4 linked regions of the Xenopus tropicalis genome follow. The main gene of each other region encodes a partner of the protein of the gene in region 2 in a complex. Links are inferred from orthologs where the notes say so. Each region holds a gene or a part of one and is shown on either strand. Other genes may lie near its edges. The genes, in order: eed, ezh2, aebp2 and jarid2.

Evidence for each region.
Region 1: the proteins of ezh2 (region 2) and eed are in contact, whole or in part, in a cryo-EM structure (PDB 8VMI), measured with the Homo sapiens proteins. The link is inferred for Xenopus tropicalis from reciprocal best matches to the Homo sapiens genes EZH2 and EED. Residues at the interface, in NP_001190176.1 of Homo sapiens: Arg34, Glu37, Val38, Lys39, Met41, Phe42, Ser43, Asn45, Arg46, Ile49, Arg52, Thr53, Ile55, Leu56, Asn57, Glu59, Trp60, Lys61, Arg63, Arg64, Ile65, Gln66, Pro67, Val68, His69, Ile70, Leu71, Glu82, Cys83, Ser84; in NP_003788.2 of Homo sapiens: Val85, Asn86, Ser87, Leu88, Lys89, Glu90, Asp91, Trp103, His104, Ser105, Lys106, Glu107, Asp109, Pro110, Val112, Arg120, Thr122, Leu123, Tyr124, Glu125, Gln129, Gly130, Glu131, Ile132, Arg133, Leu134, Leu135, Gln136, Ser137, Tyr138.
Region 3: the proteins of ezh2 (region 2) and aebp2 are in contact, whole or in part, in a cryo-EM structure (PDB 8VMI), measured with the Homo sapiens proteins. The link is inferred for Xenopus tropicalis from reciprocal best matches to the Homo sapiens genes EZH2 and AEBP2. Residues at the interface, in NP_001190176.1 of Homo sapiens: Ser76, Leu77, Arg78, Gly79, Thr80, Thr100, Asn102, Ala103, Val104, Ala105, Ser619, Asp620, Val621, Ala622, Ile739, Glu742, Met743, Glu744, Ile745, Pro746; in NP_001107648.1 of Homo sapiens: Lys382, Leu383, Lys384, Asn385, Arg387, Arg388, Ser390, Leu391, Pro392, His395, Asp399, Ala400, Gln401, Asp404, Ala405, Arg407, His408, Ile411, Cys412, Leu415.
Region 4: the proteins of ezh2 (region 2) and jarid2 are in contact, whole or in part, in a cryo-EM structure (PDB 8VNZ), measured with the Homo sapiens proteins. The link is inferred for Xenopus tropicalis from reciprocal best matches to the Homo sapiens genes EZH2 and JARID2. Residues at the interface, in NP_001190176.1 of Homo sapiens: Arg78, Ile131, Pro132, Tyr133, Asp136, Ile146, Lys156, Val157, Asp160, Arg161; in NP_004964.2 of Homo sapiens: Arg108, Pro109, Arg110, Leu111, Ala113, Gln114, Arg115, Lys116, Thr154.

Annotation. Positions count from the first base shown.
Region 1 is NC_030678.2:168,819,470-168,824,130, forward strand, and holds part of eed (polycomb protein eed), read right to left. Parts: intron 1,736-4,661; coding exon 1,583-1,735; intron 1-1,582. UniProt on the Homo sapiens protein: Polycomb group (PcG) protein. Component of the PRC2/EED-EZH2 complex, which methylates 'Lys-9' and 'Lys-27' of histone H3, leading to transcriptional repression of the affected target gene.
Region 2 is NC_030682.2:55,159,343-55,164,003, reverse strand, and holds part of ezh2 (histone-lysine N-methyltransferase EZH2), read right to left. Parts: intron 3,271-4,661; coding exon 3,030-3,270; intron 2,011-3,029; coding exon 1,841-2,010; intron 1,443-1,840; coding exon 1,348-1,442; intron 652-1,347; coding exon 611-651; intron 1-610. UniProt on the Homo sapiens protein: Polycomb group (PcG) protein. Catalytic subunit of the PRC2/EED-EZH2 complex, which methylates 'Lys-9' (H3K9me) and 'Lys-27' (H3K27me) of histone H3, leading to transcriptional repression of the affected target gene.
Region 3 is NC_030679.2:754,649-760,084, reverse strand, and holds the start of aebp2 (zinc finger protein AEBP2), read right to left. Parts: upstream 3,363-5,436; 5' UTR 3,232-3,362; coding exon 2,966-3,231; intron 1,736-2,965; coding exon 1,525-1,735; intron 1-1,524. UniProt on the Homo sapiens protein: Acts as an accessory subunit for the core Polycomb repressive complex 2 (PRC2), which mediates histone H3K27 (H3K27me3) trimethylation on chromatin leading to transcriptional repression of the affected target gene.
Region 4 is NC_030682.2:92,469,165-92,473,825, reverse strand, and holds part of jarid2 (protein Jumonji), read right to left. Parts: intron 2,624-4,661; coding exon 1,606-2,623; intron 1-1,605.

The sequences.
Region 1 (4,661 bases), on a different chromosome or scaffold from region 2:
ATAACCAAAGCTGCTGTGTAGCCCCAGGGGCAGCCATTCAAAGGAGAGAAGGCACAGGTTAGAGAGCTTATCAGTTATCTGCTATGTAACCTGTGCCTTTTCTCCTATTTTCCAGCACGAATGGCTGCCCCCGGAGCTACACAGCGGGGTATTTATATAAACTATAGTAGGGTTTCTGTAGCAAACACCCCAGCTGTACCAGTGCAGGAATGGCTGCCCCCGGGGCTACACAGCGGGGTATTTATATAAACTATAGTAGGGTTTCTGTAGCAAACACCCCAGCTGTACCAGTGCAGGAATGGCTGCCCCCGGGGCTACACAGCGGGGTATTTATATAAACTATAGTAGGGTTTCTGTAGCAAACACCCCAGCTGTACCAGTGCAGGAATGGCTGCCCCCGGGGCTACACAGCGGGGTATTTATATAAACTATAGTAGGGTTTCTGTAGCAAACACCCCAGCTGTACCAGTGCAGGAATGGCTGCCCCCGGGGCTACACAGCGGGGTATTTATATAAACTATAGTAGGGTTTCTGTAGCAAACACCCCAGCTGTACCAGTGCAGGAATGGCTGCCCCCGGGGCTACACAGCGGGGTATTTATATAAACTATAGTAGGGTTTCTGTAGCAAACACCCCAGCTGTACCAGTGCAGGAATGGCTGCCCCCGGGGCTACATAGCGGGGTATTTATATAAACTATAGTAGGGTTTCTGTAGCAAACACCCCAGCTGTACCAGTGCAGGAATGGCTGCCCCCGGGGCTACACAGCGGGGTATTTATATAAACTATAGTAGGGTTTCTGTAGCAAACACCCCAGCTGTACCAGTGCAGGAACGGCTGCCCCCGGGGCTACACAGCAGGGTATTTATATAAACTATAGTAGGGTTTCTGTAGCAAACACCCCAGCTGTACCAGTGCAGGAATGGCTGCCCCCGGGGCTACACAGCAGGGTATTTATATAAACTATAGTAGGGTTTCTGTAGCAAACACCCCAGCTGTACCAGTGCAGGAATGGCTGCCCCCGGGGCTACACAGCAGGGTATTTATATAAACTATAGTAGGGTTTCTGTAGCAAACACCCCAGCTGTACCAGTGCAGGAACGGCTGCCCCCGGGGCTACACAGCAGGGTATTTATATAAACTATAGTAGGGTTTCTGTAGCAAACACCCCAGCTGTACCAGTGCAGGAATGGCTGCCCCCGGGGCTACACAGCAGGGTATTTATATAAACTATAGTAGGGTTTCTGTAGCAAACACCCCAGCTGTACCAGTGCAGGAACGGCTGCCCCCGGGGCTACACAGCGGGGTATTTATATAAACTATAGTAGGGTTTCTGTAGCAAACACCCCAGCTGTACCAGTGCAGGAATGGCTGCCCCCGGGGCTACACAGCGGGGTATTTATATAAGTATAGCAGCATTTCTGTAGCAAACACACCAGTTTTACCAGTACATTATATCTTAATTACTTTAAAACACTCATTTTTTTGGTGTTTTTTGGTACCCACGATAGACCTCTGCTACCAATCTCTCCAAACTGATCCAGCCGATTATCCTTTCCCAGTGGCACCAATCTCGCACTCACCTTGAGGCTATTTACACACTTGAAGGAGTATTTGCATTTCTTTGACTTCCATTTTCCTTTGCCCCAGCCCTTTCTGCCGGGGGCATTTGCTGCATTTGTCGGGGTGTCTGGGCGCTCTGTGTTTGTACCGCTCTCTATGCTGACAGTATCGTCCTAAATATTTCAAAGAAAAAAAAAAGCTCAGAATTATGGGACTGCCATTTCCATAGACTCCATTTGAATGAAATAATTTACATTTTTTAAAAATGATTTGCATTTTCTCTGTAATAATAAAACAGTACCTGTACTTGATCCCAACTAAGATATAATTACCCCTTATTGGGGGCAAAACAGCCCTATTGGGTTTATTTAATCTTTAAATGATTCCCTTTTCTCTGTAATAATAAAACAGTACCTGTACTTGATCCCAACTAAGATATAATTACCCCTTATTGGGGGCAGAACAGCCCTATTGGGTTTATTTCATGTTTACATCATTTTTAGCAACATTAAGTCTGGAGTAATGTAATGATTATATATGACTCTAGCATGCAGATAATTTGAACTGAAGAGATGTGGAGCAAAAGGTTAGTTTTAAAAATACAAATAAACCAGTAGCAAATTGTCTCAGAGGGCCTCTACAGCAACTTTGAAATTCGGATCACATGCCTCCAGCACTAGGGTTGAACTAATCAAAAGTTTATAAACCTGAGTGTATATCTGCTACATGGGAGGAAACCCAATAGGGCTGTTCTGCCCCCAATAAGGGGTAATTATATCTTAGTTGGGATCAAGTACAGGTACTGTTTTATTATTACAGAGAAAAGGGAATCATTTAACCATGAAATAAACCCAATAGGGCTGTTCTGCCCCCAATAAGGGGTAATTATATCTTAGTTGGGATCAAGTACAGGTACTGTTTTATTATTACAGAGAAAAGGGAATCATTTAACCATTAAATAAACCCAATAGGACTGTTCTGCCCCCAATAAGGGGTAATAATATCTTAGTTGGGATCAAGTACAGGTACTGTTTTATTATTACAGAGAAAAGGGAATCATTTAACCATTAAATAAACCCAATAGGGCTGTTCTGCCCCAATAAGGGGTAATTATATCTTAGTTGGGATCAAGTACAGGTACTGTTTTATTATTACAGAGAAAAGGGAATCATTTAACCATTAAATAAACCCAATAGGGCTGTTCTGCCCCCAATAAGGGGTAATTATATCTTAGTTGGGATCAAGTACAGGTACTGTTTTATTATTACAGAGAAAAGGGAATCATTTAACCATTAAATAAACCCAATAGGGCTGTTCTGCCCCAATAAGGGGTAATTATATCTTAGTTGGGATCAAGTACAGGTACTGTTTTATTATTACAGAGAAAAGGGAATCATTTAACCATTAAATAAACCCAATAGGGCTGTTCTGCCCCCAATAAGGGGTAATTATATCTTAGTTGGGATCAAGTACAGGTACTGTTTTATTATTACAGAGAAAAGGGAATCATTTAACCATGAAATAAACCCAATAGGGCTGTTCTGCCCCCAATAAGGGGTAATTATATCTTAGTTGGGATCAAGTACAGGTACTGTTTTATTATTACAGAGAAAAGGGAATCATTTAACCATTAAATAAACCCAATAGGACTGTTCTGCCCCCAATAAGGGGTAATAATATCTTAGTTGGGATCAAGTACAGGTACTGTTTTATTATTACAGAGAAAAGGGAATCATTTAACCATTAAATAAACCCAATAGGGCTGTTCTGCCCCAATAAGGGGTAATTATATCTTAGTTGGGATCAAGTACAGGTACTGTTTTATTATTACAGAGAAAAGGGAATCATTTAACCATTAAATAAACCCAATAGGGCTGTTCTGCCCCCAATAAGGGGTAATTATATCTTAGTTGGGATCAAGTACAGGTACTGTTTTATTATTACAGAGAAAAGGGAATCATTTAACCATTAAATAAACCCAATAGGGCTGTTCTGCCCCAATAAGGGGTAATTATATCTTAGTTGGGATCAAGTACAGGTACTGTTTTATTATTACAGAGAAATTGAATTATTTTATTAAAATGGAGTCTCAGGATGATTGCCTTCCTATAATTCAGAGCTTTCTGGATAATGGATCCCATACCTGTAACAAGTACAAAATCGTTGAGCCCCAGTCAGAATAAACCCCATGCTACAACCACTGAGCCATCCCACTGCCCAAGAAAGTGCTTTCATTAAAGTGAAGGCCTCTTAAAATTAAGTTTCATTTGAAACTTACGATACTCTATTCTACCACTCCCTGACTGACCCTAACAGACAGCATTTTAAAGTCCATGCTGGAATAAAGAAACCCTAGCATTATAAAATAAGTTTAAGTCTATTTCTATCTACAACATATGTAAATTCAGGGGAACTTCCACTTTAAAAATCTAGGTGCCCTATGGCCAGACCATAGACTGCTAACTGTATAGCATAAGCACATCATGAACTCTATATGCAGCAAGGTAATCAGTAATTCTATATAATTAGCTATTAGTGTGCCTGCTCAGTGTATAACATGCCTGGCTGTGCCTACTCATTAGCTGGCAGTAATTAGCGAGAGTACACACTAATGATTCTAGCACCCATCCCCCAGGCAGCCCCTACATCCTGTCCCACTGAGAGAGAGAAAGCTCACAGGCTCTGCACCTACAGCCTCACCCTTTGTCTCCATTTATTAGTTATCATCGTCATCATTCATTTATACATTTCCAACATACTCTGCAGCATTTAGATTTAGGGCAAACATGATAAAGGGCAAAACAATGTCTGCAGCTTTTGAGAAAGTGATGTGATACCACGAAACGCGTCAAGCGTATGGTCTTTTTCTGTATAAGCACAACATGCTTTTTTAAAAAAGATTGGATAAAGAAAGATTTTTATGAAAACAACAGTGTTGGCGTTGCTCCGTATAAAGTTTTGTTTTGCAGTTTACTTCGCCGTCTGGGTCTCGGCTGTACGTTGAGCACACACTGATGGTCCGGTAAGTGCTCCCGTGGTCTTTACAAAACATGATAAAGGGGAAAAAAACTAAAATGGTACTGGAGTACAAATAACAGT
Region 2 (4,661 bases):
CTTAATTATATTATATTATATATATATATCTCAATCCAAATTCCAAATGGTGTCCGCACTCCAAGGCTCAATATTCTGCGGGGTGCTAGCCAAAATTATGTCTGTATAGAAAATAATCTGTGGCCAGCACACCCTTCAACGTTGGCCTGTTTTAACAGCATGTTTAAATAAAAGTAACGTTTTAATTTTTAAAAAATATCCTGCTGTGCACCCAATTCTTGGACTTCTGGATAATTAGACACATGGAGGTAGCACCCAGGTGATTTATATTACGGGTTTGGTGTGCTGAAAATTTTGTGGACTGTGTGTGTGTATATATATATATATATATATATATATATATATGTGTATGACATCAGAAAAGTTTAGTACAACAGAAAACTAAGAGATGTTAATAGGTACCGATCTAGGTATTAAACAATTTGACATATCTTTTTCCTACTACAACACATATGTGGATATTTTATATGTTATTGTTTCATTAGAACTACCACTACTGCAGCAGTGTGAACCTCTGTACAGGAGCACATACTGCCATTAGGACTGGGTTGTTTTTGAACTTTGAGTAACTGGGGAAAAACAGAAAATGAAAGCTAAATAAATGTCAAACCTTTTTTCAGCTGTATTTTCCTGCAGTGCGCTGCCCAAAGTCTGTTAGGATACAATTAGATACAAAATAAGAGAAGAAATCATGTAGAAAATAAAAAAAATGATCAGTTCTATACAACAATGTATTTCACTGGTAATGAAGATCATTAGGTTATGCAGAGCAGGCTCCCTTGACCCCAGTCACTTATTTTATTTTGACTTCCATACCCCTGCAACTGCTTGAATATTGCTAATCTTGTACCAGACTGCGCAGTTATATTTGCTAGTAGGTATGGCAGAGGCCTTCTGGTCCGCAACGCATGTGTGTAGGGGCCTCTTGCACTGCCCAACCAAGCTGCAGCTCCAGGGATGGCAGCAGCCAAAACAAAGTAAGACTGGGCAGAAGGGGGTGTTGCTATGCAATGAAGATTTTATTTGAACTCACTCTTAAAATAACTGACACTGGCACAAATACAAATCCTTGTATTTAGAGAGACAGGATTTGTATTGAAGTTAGTTATTTTGAAGAGTTATTTTGAGAGTTAGCTCAAATACATCTTCTAGGCAGAGAAGCACAATGATTCATGCAAGGTATTATTCATAATGAGCAAATAACAAGAGCTATTATCAGGAATAACCCAAGATCTGGTATATAGTCTAGGCTATCTTCATTAGAGTGGTTTAACACAGCTATATTATGAAACTGTTGTTCATTTCTCAACAACAGACAAAGAAAATGTGATGAAGTGTAAGTCATACCTGTGTTTCCTCTTTTTCTTTCTCGGAGGAGTGTCGACATCCTCAGCAATAACAGGAGCAATAATACTGGATTCCTTTACTCTAAACTCATAGACCTGCAGAAGATATTAATAGAGTAATGAATAACTTGTTAGCTTTGGATAATACAGCAGACTTTCAAATACCACATGAAAATCAGCCATCGGTGCATATGATATTTTAAGGAACACAACAGCTGCATGCAGTTTTCTTATAAGACGATTACAGACTGATCCTTGTAGATTGTAAGCTCTTTTGGGCAGGGCTCTCTTCACCTCTTGTATTGGTTATTGATTGCTTTATATGTTACTCTGTATGTCCAATGTATGAAACCCACTTACAGCGCTGCGGAATATGTTGGCGCTTTATAAATAAATGTTAATAATAATAATAATAATCCTAAAGTTTAGTCAAAAGTGTAACATATTGTACTAAAAAATCATTGTAGAATGAATAAGAGCTACTAATAACTTACTTGCCGGCATGTCTTGGTACCAATCAACCTTGCAATTGCACAGAAGTTGTCATAATAGGTTCCAATTAGCACTCTAAATAGGGAGGCCTCTGCACCACTCCATTCCACATTTTCAGGTGGCTCGATATTTGGCTTCATTTTTATTGGTGTCTGGCACCGAGAGTTTGCTTCTGTTGAGAGGTATACAATAGAACAAGAGCAGGTAAGGGAGGCACTGAATGGAACTCCTCACTCACAGCTATACATACGTCCTTTGAGCATGCATGTAGCATCTGCTTTGGAATATCAACTGTTTACCAGACCCAAAAAATATGTTTCTTACATAGAAGTATGTAAATCTGAAATATTTAGATGGATTCTTGATAGCATTCTTTCATGTCCAACCATGTGGACCATTCGGGGTTTTAACCTTGAAAGCAAGTAAGTTGCAGGTAAAACTTTGTCCCTTTGTTAAATGTATATTGAAGCACTAAAATTCTTAATGAATCAGATGAAAGTGAATGTAGGACTGGCCAGACTGGGGATGACTGACGTAGTTGGCCAGCTTGAATATATTGCAATATATGGACAAACAATCCCTGTTTGGCTTAAAGGGGAGGGCATAGCTTGGTAGCTTAATGCAAAGAATGTCTTAGTGTCCTATTGATATTGATAGAATGAGAGATTAATAGCTTATGCCTGATTTATTCCCACCCACCGGGTTTTTCTGCTGGTGAAAATGCAACACACTGGACTTCTACAGTACACATGGTGGATTTGGGAAAATGGAGAATGGGCGCATTTTCGTGCAGAACTCATCCCTCTGTATGCAATTGCAGGCAGATGCTGTGCTTGTCAGTGCATTCTAAAGATCTTGTGCAAGGCAGTGGATCAAGTTTTCTAACACAACATGTGACACTAGCCTCAGTGCTTTCAAGACTTTTGCTTGCTGGAATTTCATTTGTACCTCCAGACTACTAAAAAGCAACACATGCAGTAGTGCAAACTTTGAAAATGAAAATGGTGTCCTTTAAACTGCAGTTCATCCATCTTTAAAAAAAAAAAAACACTGGCAATGTCAGATGCCTCAGTGCATGGGAGTTTGCCATCTGCTTACATATTATTTACATGTATTATTATAAAATGCTGTACATCTGTCTATTTTTTAGCCAGAGTACAAACCTAATGGATATCCGTTGAACATACATACCAGAGGAGCTTGAGGTCTCATCTTTTTTCTCTTCTTCCTCCTTATCATTGCTTTCCCCTCCAGTTTCAGTGCCGGCTTCTCTGTCACTATCAGTGTCCTTGGCTTCTAACACATTTACAGTTGGTGTGCTTGGTCTGCTGGTGTTGTTGGGAAGTCTACCTCTTCGGCGACCACTAGGGCGCTTTGGTGGTGTCTTTATTCGTTCTGCTGTCAAAGCTGCAGCAAACTCCCGTGCTCCTTCCTTCAATACAAATTTGACAGCATATGGTTTCACAATCACAACCAAAACCAAAAACACATACAGTGGCTTGCAAAAGTATTCGGCCCCCTTGAACTTTTCCACATTTTGTCACATAACAGCCACAAACATGAATCAATTTTATTGGAATTCCACGTGAAAGACCAATACAGAGTGATGTACACGTGAGAAGTGGAACGAAAATCATACATGATTCCAAACATTTTTTACAAATAAATAACTGCAAAGTGGGGTGTGCGTAATTATTCAGCCCTCTGAGTCAATACTTTGTAGAACCACCTTTTGCTGCAATTACAGCTGCCAGTCTTTAGGGTATGTCTCTACCAGCTTTGCACATCTAGAGACTGAAATCCTTACCCATTCTTCTTTGCAAAACAGCTCCAGCTCAGTCAGATTAGATGGACAGCGTTTGTGAACAGCAGTTTTCAGAACTTGCCACAGATTTTCGATTGGATTTAGATCTGGACTTTGACTGGGCCATTCTAACACATGGATATGTTTTGTTTTAAACCATTCCATTGTTGCCCTGGCTTTATGTTTAGGGTCGTTGTCCTGCTGGAAGGTGAACCTCCGCCCCAGTCTCAAGTCTTTTGCAGACTCCAAGAGGTTTTCTTCCAGGATTGCCCTGTATTTGGCTCCATCCATCTTCCCATCAACTCTGACCAGCTTCCCTGTCCCTGCTGAAGAGAAGCCCCCCCAGAGCATGATGCTGCCACCACCATATTTGACAGTGGGGATGGTGTGTTCAGAGTGATGTGCAGTGTTAGTTTTCCGCCACACATAGTGTTTTGCATTTTGGCCAAAAAGTTCCATTTTGGTCTCATCTGACCAGAGCACCTTCTTCCACATGTTTGCTGTGTCCCCCACATGGCTTGTGGCAAACTGCAAACGGGACTTCTTATGGTTTTCTGTTAACAATGGCTTTCTTCTTGCCACTCTTCCATAAAGGCCAACTTTGTGCAGTGCACGACTAATAGTTGTCCTATGGACAGATTCCCCCACCTGAGCTGTAGATCTCTGCAGCTCGTCCAGAGTCACCATGGGCCTCTTGGCTGCATTTCTGATCAGCGCTCTCCTTGTTCGGCCTGTGAGTTTAGGTGGACGGCCTTGTCTTGGTAGGTTTACAGTTGTGCCATACTCCTTCCATTTCTGAATGATCGCTTGAACAGTGCTCCGTGGGATGTTCAAGGCTTTGGAAATCTTTTTGTAGCCTAAGCCTGCTTTAAATTTCTCAATAACTTTATCCCTGACCTGTCTGGTGTGTTCTTTGGACTTCATGGTGTTGTTGCTCCCAATATTCTCTTAGACAACCTCTGAGGCCGTTACAGAGCAGCTGTATTTGTACTGACATTAGATTACACACAGGTGCACTC
Region 3 (5,436 bases), on a different chromosome or scaffold from region 2:
TGTATAAATACAAATATACAGAGAGGGAATGTTCTGGGCACACAATAAGCTGTACCCCCATACTGTACTGTCTAAGGGAAACACTATGGCACCTCCTACCCATATGTATAAATACAAATATACAGAGAGGGAATGTTCTGGGCACACAATAAGCTGTACCCCCATACTGTACTGTCTAAGGGAAACACTATGGCACCTCCCTCCCATATGTATAAATACAAATATACAGAGAAGGAATGTTCTGGGCACACAATAAGCTGTACCCCCATACTGTACTGTCTAAGGGAAACACTATGGCACCCCCTACCCATATGTATAAATACAAATATACAGAGAAGGAATGTTCTGGGCACACAATAAGCTGTACCCCCATACTGTACTGTCTAAGGGAAACACTATGGCACCCCCTACCCATATGTATAAATACAAATATACAGGGAAGGAATGTTCTGGGCACACAATAAGCTGTACCCCCATACTGTACTGTCTAAGGGAAACACTATGGCACCCCCTACCCATATGTATAAATACAAATATACAGAGAGGGAATGCTCTGGGCACACAATAAGCTGTACCCCCATACTGTACTGTCTAAGGGAAACACTATGGCACCCCCTACCCATATGTATAAATACAAATATACAGAGAGGGAATGTTCTGGGCACACAATAAGCTGTACCCCCATACTGTACTGTCTAAGGGAAACACTATGGCACCCCCTACCCATATGTATAAATACAAATATACAGAGAAGGAATGTTCTGGGCACACAATAAGCTGTACCCCCATACTGTACTGTCTAAGGGAAAACACTATGGCACCCCTACCCATATGTATAAATACAAATATACAGAGAGGGAATGTTCTGGGCACACAATAAGCTGTACCCCCATACTGTACTGTCTAAGGGAAACACTATGGCACCACCTACCCATATGTATAAATACAAATATACAGAGAGGGAATGTTCTGGGCACACAATAAGCTGTACCCCCATACTGTACTGTCTAAGGGAAACACTATGGCACCCCCTACCCATATGTATAAATACAAATATACAGAGAGGGAATGTTCTGGGCACACAATAAGCCCCACCCCCATACTGTACTGTCTAAGGGAAACACTATGGCACCCCCTACCCATATGTATAAATACAAATATACAGAGAGGGAATGTTCTGGGCACACAATAAGCTGTACCCCCATACTGTACTGTCTAAGGGAAACACTATGGCACCCCCTACCCATATGTATAAATACAAATATACAGAGAGGGAATGTTCTGGGCACACAATAAGCCCCACCCCCATACTGTACTGTCTAAGGGAAACACTATGGCACCCCCTACCCATATGTATAAATACAAATATACAGAGAAGGAATGCTCTGGGCACACAATAAGCTGTACCCCCATACTGTACTGTCTAAGGGAAACACTATGGCACCCCCTACCCATATGTATAAATACAAATATACAGAGAGGGAATGCCCCGCCCCACGTTGCAGAGAACCAATGAGCACTCACCCCCCCGTGCTGCCCATCCACGTGGAAAGAGCGAATGTGGTCGGCCAGGTCGGGGCTGCAGGAGAAGGTGGTCTGACATTGGTCCCAGCAGCAGCTGTAAGAGAGGCTCTTATTGGCCGACGTGCTGATCATGCTTTGGCCGTTCATCATGGCGGGAGTCGAGCGCCCACTGGAGACCACACTGTCCACATCCATCAGGGTACTGCTGATACTGTGGGGCAACAAGCAGGGGTTACTGGGCTATACTGCCCCCCAACAGGATTCACTTACCCAGGGGGAGGTTCCTGCCTGACCATGGGAAAGAGAGCAGCCCAGGAGCAGGAAGTACAGAGAATCAGAGCTCTGTACCTGGGTAAGTACTGGGGGGAGATTGGATTCACTTACCCAGGGGGAGGTTCCTGCCTGACCATGGGAAAGAGAGCAGCCCAGGAGCAGGAAGTACAGAGAATCAGAGCTCTGTACCTGGGTAAGTACTGGGGGGAGATTGGATTCACTTACCCAGGGGGAGGTTCCTGCCTGACCATGGGAAAGAGAGCAGCCCAGGAGCAGGAAGTACAGAGAATTGGGGACCCTGACAGTCGGGGCAGACAGAGGTGAGAGGGGCACATAGAGTACAATTGCCCCTCAGGCTAATGAGGCAATTGCTAATGAATGTTGCCCCTATACATGAGTGCACTACTTACTCACAGGGGCTGTTGCTACAGAGAGTGATATATCCCCCCGGGTGGGGTAGTTCCGGGCGGCTGGACAAGGCAAGGACTGAACCTTTCCCCATAAGACTGAGGGGACAGAAGGAACCAGCGGGGCCCCGGTCACTGTGAGGGCCAAAGGGCCAGTGGGGTACCGACCAATCGCTAACACTGGGGGGGGCAGATCTGGTAAGTGCCCCAGAGGTGGAAACAGAGGGCTCAATAGATCGGATTCTCATTTGCTCAAGTACAACCTGCCCCACTTACTGCCCCGCCCCCACCGTGACATGTGACAGGACTACACTTCCCATCATCCTCCCCTGCCCTATCCAACCCCAGGGAATGTGAGTGCAGCCCCCTAGGGGCAGAACATATAGTGCCTCAGTACTAACCCCCCCCTGTGTAACTGCCCCAGCTCCATGTTATCTATTCCTACCCAGGTAATGAATACTGCCCCATCCTGCCCTCTAACTACCCCTCCCATAATGTAACTGCCCCAGCTCCATGTTATCTATTCCTACCCAGGTAATGAATACTGCCCCATCCTGCCCTCTAACTACCCCTCCCATAATGTAACTGCCCCTCATTTCTATTCCCCCTCAGTCCAATGACCCAACTGTATCTGCCCCCAGAGCCCAGCCTACCCTACTAACCCCGCCCCCTACCCTACTAACCCCGCCCCCATTCTCCCTGCTGCCACCACAATTGCCCCCAAGTACCTGCCCCAATCCAATTGCCCCTGGGGCACTGACCTGTCCTCCGAGTCCATGCGGCTGAGCGGTTCCCCCTCGGACACAGCCAGGCTCCCCGCTCCGGAGCTGCCGGTTCCCCCCCCGGGGCCCTGACTCTCCTGTCCCGCTGGGCTGTCGGGACGCTCCGACCCGGAGCTCCTGCTGCTCTCATCGTCCGCCTCGTCCTCCTCTTCCCCGGGCGGGGGCACGGCAGGCTGGGCGGGAGGGGGGCTGGAGGAGCCGGCGGGGGGCGCGGAGGGCTCGGAGCAAGAGGAGGCGGCGGCCATCTTGTCACTAAGCTCGGAGCTTCCCTTAGCGGCGGGGCGGGGCTTGGGGCGGAGACTGCGGCAGCATGCGTTACGGCGCCCGTAGAGGGCCAAAGCGGAGTGAGAAGCGGAACTCTTACTGGGCCGGGAGAGGAAAGGCTTCTAGTTATTGGACGAGAGGCTCTTAGGCTCCTCCTACTGTTATATCTTCCCATACTGCCCCCTAGTGGGGACTTACATTCCATACACTGCTCCGCTCTCCTTTCTCAATCAGGCTCTGGCCTCCTCTCCCAGCAGTGCTGTAATTCATCCTATTCCATAAAGGGTAACTGATTGTTTCCGTTTAAGAACAAAGCTCTGACCTGCCATAAAGCAAACCTGGGCTGCCGTTTCTCTACCAGACAGGAAGTGGAGATATTCACACCAGTTCTAGGGAATAGATTCCCCTGTGCAAGGGAAGTAGAGACGGGGGAGTGTATTTCCCGGTACCCATGTGACTCTCTCTGCTTCCTTTGCACGGGGGAGTGTATTTCCCGGTACCCGTGTGACTGTCTCTGCTTCCTTTGCACGGGGGAGTGTATTTCCTGGTACCCATGTGACTGTCTCTGCTTCCTTTGCACGGGGGAGTGTATTTCCCGGTACCCATGTGACTCTCTCTGCTTCCTTTGCACGGGGGAGTGTATTTCCCGGTACCCATGTGACTGTCTCTGCTTCCTTTGCATGGGGGAGTGTATTTCCTGGTACCCATGTGACTGTCTCTACTTCCTTTGCACGGGGGAGTGTATTTCCCGGTACCCATGTGACTGTCTCTGCTTCCTTTGCACGGGGGAGTGTATTTCCTGGTACCCGTGTGACTGTCTCTGCTTCCTTTGCACGGGGGAGTGTATTTCCTGGTACCCATGTGACTGTCTCTGCTTCCTTTGCACGGGGGAGTGTATTTCCTGGTACCCGTGTGACTGTCTCTGCTTCCTTTGCACGGGGGAGTGTATTTCCTGGTACCCGTGTGACTGTCTCTGCTTCCTTTGCACGGGGGAGTGTATTTCCTGGTACCCATGTGACTGTCTCTGCTTCCTTTGCACGGGGGAGTGTATTTCCTGGTACCCGTGTGACTGTCTCTGCTTCCTTTGCACGGGGGAGTGTATTTCCCGGTACCCATGTGACTGTCTCTGCTTCCTTTGCACGGGGGAGTGTATTTCCTGGTACCCATGTGACTGTCTCTGCTTCCTTTGCACGGGGGGAGTGTATTTCCTGGTACCCGTGTGACTGTCTCTGCTTCCTGTGCACGGGGGAGTGTATTTCCCGGTACCCGTGTGACTGTCTCTGCTTCCTTTGCACGGGGGAGTGTATTTCCCGGTACCCATGTGACTGTCTCTGCTTCCTTTGCACGGGGGAGTGTATTTCCCGGTACCCATGTGACTGTCTCTGCTTCCTTTGCACGGGGGAGTGTATTTCCCGGTACCCATGTGACTGTCTCTGCTTCCTTTGCACGGGGGAGTGTATTTCCCGGTACCCGTGTGACTGTCTCTGCTTCCTTTGCACGGGGGGAGTGTATTTCCCGGTACCCGTGTGACTGTCTCTGCTTCCTTTGCACGGGGGGAGTGTATTTCCCGGTACCCGTGTGACTGTCTCTGCTTCCTTTGCACGGGGGGAGTGTATTTCCCGGTACCCGTGTTTACTGTCTCTGCTTCCTTTGCACGGGGAGTGTATTTCCCGGTACCCATGTGACTGTCTCTGCTTCCTTTGCACGGGGGAGTGTATTTCCCGGTACCCATGTGACTGTCTCTGCTTCCTTTGCACGGGGGAGTGTATTTCCCGGTACCCGTGTGACTGTCTCTGCTTCCTGTGCACGGGGGAGTGTATTTCCCGGTACCCGTGTGACTGTCTCTACTTCCTTTGCACGGGGGAGTGTATTTCCCGGTACCTGTGTGACTGTCTCTGCTTCCTGTGCACGGGGGAGTGTATTTCCCGGTACCCGTGTGACTGTCTCTGCTTCCTTTGCACGGGGGAGTGTATTTCCTGGTACCCGTGTGACTGTCTCTGCTTCCTTTGCACGGGGGAGTGTATTTCCCGGTACCCGTGTGACTGTCTCTGCTTCCTTTGCACGGGGGAGTGTATTTCCTGGTACCCGTGTGACTGTCTCTGCTTCCTTTGCACGGGGAAGTGTATTTCCTGGTACCCGTGTGACTGTCTCTGCTTCCTTTGCACGGGGAAGTGTATTTCCCGGTA
Region 4 (4,661 bases), about 37 Mb from region 2:
AACTGCTAATCCCTAAAAAAGTAGAGCAGAGCAGGGATCCAGAGGATCTGTCTTCGGTCAGAGCCTTGCAGAACGAGTGATGCTTGAATGCCTAGTAGGCATACCGCCACAAAGAAACAGAGAGAGATCAGTTTGTCAAGTTATTAAAACATTTGTGTCTTCTTCCAGGAACTTCACAAATGTACTTAGGGTTGTCACAAGTGGGTGTTAAGCCAGGGAATAAATCCCTGGTTCTTACTTTTGAAAAACCATTTTGAAGATATTGGTTTCCACTCTTTATATCTTCAGAAGTGTTTTTATCATTCCCTAAATCAAGTTCCCTGCATGACCTCCTTTCCATGTTCTTTTTGATTATTTCTTCAGGGAAATGTTTAGTTGCATATTAGTAAATTAAATAATATTTCAATTCACTAAGTGAGCTATTACTTGTGACAACCCTGAAAGGTACTCAATACATACATAAAAGTACATATGCATGTTGGTGTCAGCAAGAGACATTTCACCGTCAATACCTAGAATGTGTTTTACTTTTAAAACAGCAGTATTAGATAATCATAATTCAACCTCAAATCTCTAAATTGTAAGGACTGGATTGCTTATGGTAAGGGTCTGATCTTGGAAATACAGTGAAGTTAACAGGGCAGTGAATTAGTGAATTAAAAGAAAAACTTTACTGCTGCTTAAATTATATTTCAACATAGTTGAAATAATTACTGAACAACACAATCACATAAAACACACCATGTTGGGCAAATCCAACATTTAGTGAGATAAGTTCCGAGAGCTTTAGTGATGCGTGTTTGTGTCTGCTGACACACAATTGTATTCTTTGTTCATCGTACAGTATTAAATGACGTAACCTTTGTGTTACATTGTACATTTGTGGATGAATTGTTATGTTGGCCATTTATCACAAACAACAAACTTAAGTTGAAAAAAACAGAAGGAAAGTGAGATCAGCACAACAAACTTCAGCTTGGAGGGACATTTTTGGAAGAGGTGAAAAAGAAAGAGTTGTTCTTTAATTTAAAAAAATGATGATGCAAAGAAACTATTGTCCAGTCATCACACTCTGTGCCCTGGGTATAGGGTGCCTACAAAAAAAAATACGACAAACACTTTTTCAGTCCCCCAAAAATACAGCTGATATCAGAGTTCAAGCTTCTGCAGCATTCTCAGATGGCTACGTATCAATAAAAGTTTAATAGCGCATGTCTCACATTCCCTCAAGCACTGAATATGGTTGAAAAATTTGTGTTTTTCTTCTCTCTCTTTTTAAAGTGTCAACCTTCTAACATGTTGGCATCATTCAGCTACATTGGTTTTTGCTATTTTGGTATATTTCTAACAATGCAAACAGTATCCAATTATTGCTGCCCAAACACTTAACAGTCATTATTTGCAATAAAATAATACATATGATGAAATGTCATTACAATTCATCTGAGGGTAAAACGGAGTGTTTTTTTACATTTCTAATAAACAAAATATAACAGTTTAAATGGACCCTTTAAGCAGCATCTGCCAAAAAATATCAAAAAATCAAATTAGAGCTCTTTAAGAAAAATAACAACACATGCATGTCCATCAGAGTGATTCCCTTACCTATGAGCGGGAGTTCATCCAAGGTGATGCCCTGAGATTTGAGGTGCTTCTTAATGCAGGCCAGGCGCTGTACATTTGGACCCCAACGTCGCCCAAGCTTGTGGATGTGTTGAATCTGTGTAACGAATCGCATCTCATCATTCAGCTTGCACTCTGGTCTCCAGTCGGCAGGTGGGATCACGGTGCACATCCCATACTTCTCCACTCGGGCTCGGATGGATTCAATATAAATCAAGGGGTCATGAAACTCCTTGGCAGAGGGTCGGAGGACAGGGATCTCACACATGGCTGTGCACCTGGCCCTCCCAGAATTTTTCTCTGTCTTTGCAGAGTCCAGAGATTTTTGTGGGGAATCAGTGTGCGAGGTAGAGCGATTTTCACAACCAGTATCTTCTGCCTTACCACGGGGTTGTGGAACTGGTGAGCTCCTGGCTGCTGAGGCCCGCTTCGGCCTATTTCTTTCCAGCATCTTCTCTGGCACTTCTTTTTTTAAGTGTCCATTCAGCACCTGTTTCTCCGCTGCTAGCCTTTTGCTTCTGACCTCTGGCAAGCAGGCGGATACTTTAATTTTCTTTAGCAAAGGCTGTGCCTTAGCAGGAAGGCTTGCCTCCTCCAGGCGCCTTTTTGAGTTACGTAGTCCCTCCCTTAGTTGCCTCCCTTCCTCCCTACTGCATGTTTTTTTGTTAAGTTTGCCATTCACCTTTACACAGTTAAGAACAGCGGCACAGTTGGGCTTAGATGTAGAAAGAGATAGCACCTGTTTACGAGTTTTTGCATTGCTGCTTTCTGTGGTCCCTGAGATTGTGTGGTGAACAGATGAACTGGGTTTGTTGTGATTCTGTTTGGTTGCCTTATCCAGTTCTTTCTTGGCTTTGGTGTATGTGACAGTCCCCTTAGTCACCGTTGCGGTATACTTCACAGTTTTAGAGGGTGTAGGTCTCACTTCTCTTGTCTTTTTGGCACCGACTGCGTTAGAACCCAATGATGATAATCGGGTTATTCCATTCACCTTGGAAACCTGGGTTTAATTGGTAATAAAAAAAAAAGTTGTCAGTGTGCAGCTCCCCTTAAAACAAATCTAGAATATGATTTAAAAGCAAATTCTAGCTATATTATTGTGGCTGTCGTGCAAATTACAAATAATTAGATTCAATTAATAACATCTTGCAGTATTATACTAATGATGCATATTCATTTAGCAAACAGGCTAGTCTGAATTCCCAGATGAAGCACAGAAGTGATAAGTCTGTACACTTACACAAAATAATTTACTGTGAAATATTCAAAAACAAATCTTTACCATAACAGACCCAAAGACATATGAATTGTTATACTTGCTATAACTTTGTAATCTGCTTTAGCAAAGAACAGCAAGAAGTGATAAGGTCAAGATAAATCTTGCCCCCTTTTGAAAGCAACACATGGCAGATTACATATTTAGATATAAATACATATAGACACACATATACTGTTTGTTTATATTATTTACGCAATGTATATAAATGTATACTGACAAAATTTTAATAATTGTGGTTATGCCATCCCTTTATCTATTATGGGCGGCAAATTCAAAACTGTAAAAATGTGCATTTGTTTAGGATAGGACTGCTGTTATGTGATACATTTTTTTTACTGCAAAACATGTTAACACACAGACCTATGGATACTATTGGATATTGGCAGCATTTATTCCAATATATATATATATATATACATATATACACATACACATACACACACACACACACACATACATACATAAATTGGTTTTAAGCAGTAAAATAAATTACATTTTTAAACTAAAGGAAGAATTGGACTCCTAATATCAAAACAGCCCAGATAGTTAAGATTGTTGCTTAAAAAATTATTTTATTGCTCACCAAAGATCTGACACTTATTATTAATGCAGAGTGGGCTGCAATATGTCAGGGAGGAGAGACTTCCTGTGTTGCACAGGTTGTGTTCTTTGACAGAAAGAGAAACCTTGCGGTCAAAGTTGAGTACACATCTCAACCTGTGCAACAGAGCAAGTCTTTCTGGACACAAAAAGTCCACTCTGGGCTGTTCTTTTTTCATTGTGAATAATACTTTGACAAGTTACTTAACCATAACCAATTTCTACAGGGGGATGTAATAAAAACAGACACCAAGTCTTGCATTTGTTGGCATACTTGGTGACAATACACCCCCTGTGCCCTTGCCCTAAAGGTGTTAGTAATCATTTAAGAGTAAAACTAGCACCATTTATTACAAATTATTGCCTATGGGATTGGCAGATTTTCAGTTATCCTATATGTCTCCTTTAAACCTTAATCCTGTACATGGCAAACTGCAGAACTGAAGCACATCCATACATAAAAGGAATTCTGTCATGATATATATATGGTTTATTTGCTATTTGCAACTAATTCAGTGTACCATTTTAAATGTTATTAAAATGCTATTCTTGAACCAACAAATTAATTTTTTTTAATATAGTATTTTGGTGTGTATTTTTTATATTAATAGTAGGCGCCATCTCAGTGCATTATGTCTGAGCTTTCAGAAGGAGCCAACCCATCACAGTGCAACAACTTTCAGATAAGCTATTACCTCTTTTATTGTCAATGTAACTGGAGATGTAATGCCCAGACTTGGGTGTTTTACTTTGAGTGCTTTTCTCATATCTACCACTAGGCGAGGCATGGGAGCATTTTTAGCAATGCAGGCGTCAGGGAGCGGTTATCTGATTACCATTCCATTGTTGTTCTGATTGGCTGCTGGGGGGGGGGGAGGGAGGGGGATGATATCACTTCAACTTGCAGCGCAGCAGTAAAGAGAGACCAAAGTTTATCAGAGAACAAGTCACATGGCTGAGGGTCCTGCGGAAACTAAGAATATGGCTAGCCCCATATGAAATTTCAAAATTAAACATAGAAAATCTGTTTGCTCTTTTGAAAAATGAATTTCAATGCAGAATTCTGCTGGAGGAGCACTATTAACTGATTTTGTAATAAACATGTTTTCCTGTGATGCAATCCCTTTAATATTCTTCAAATCTAGACCCAAACAATATT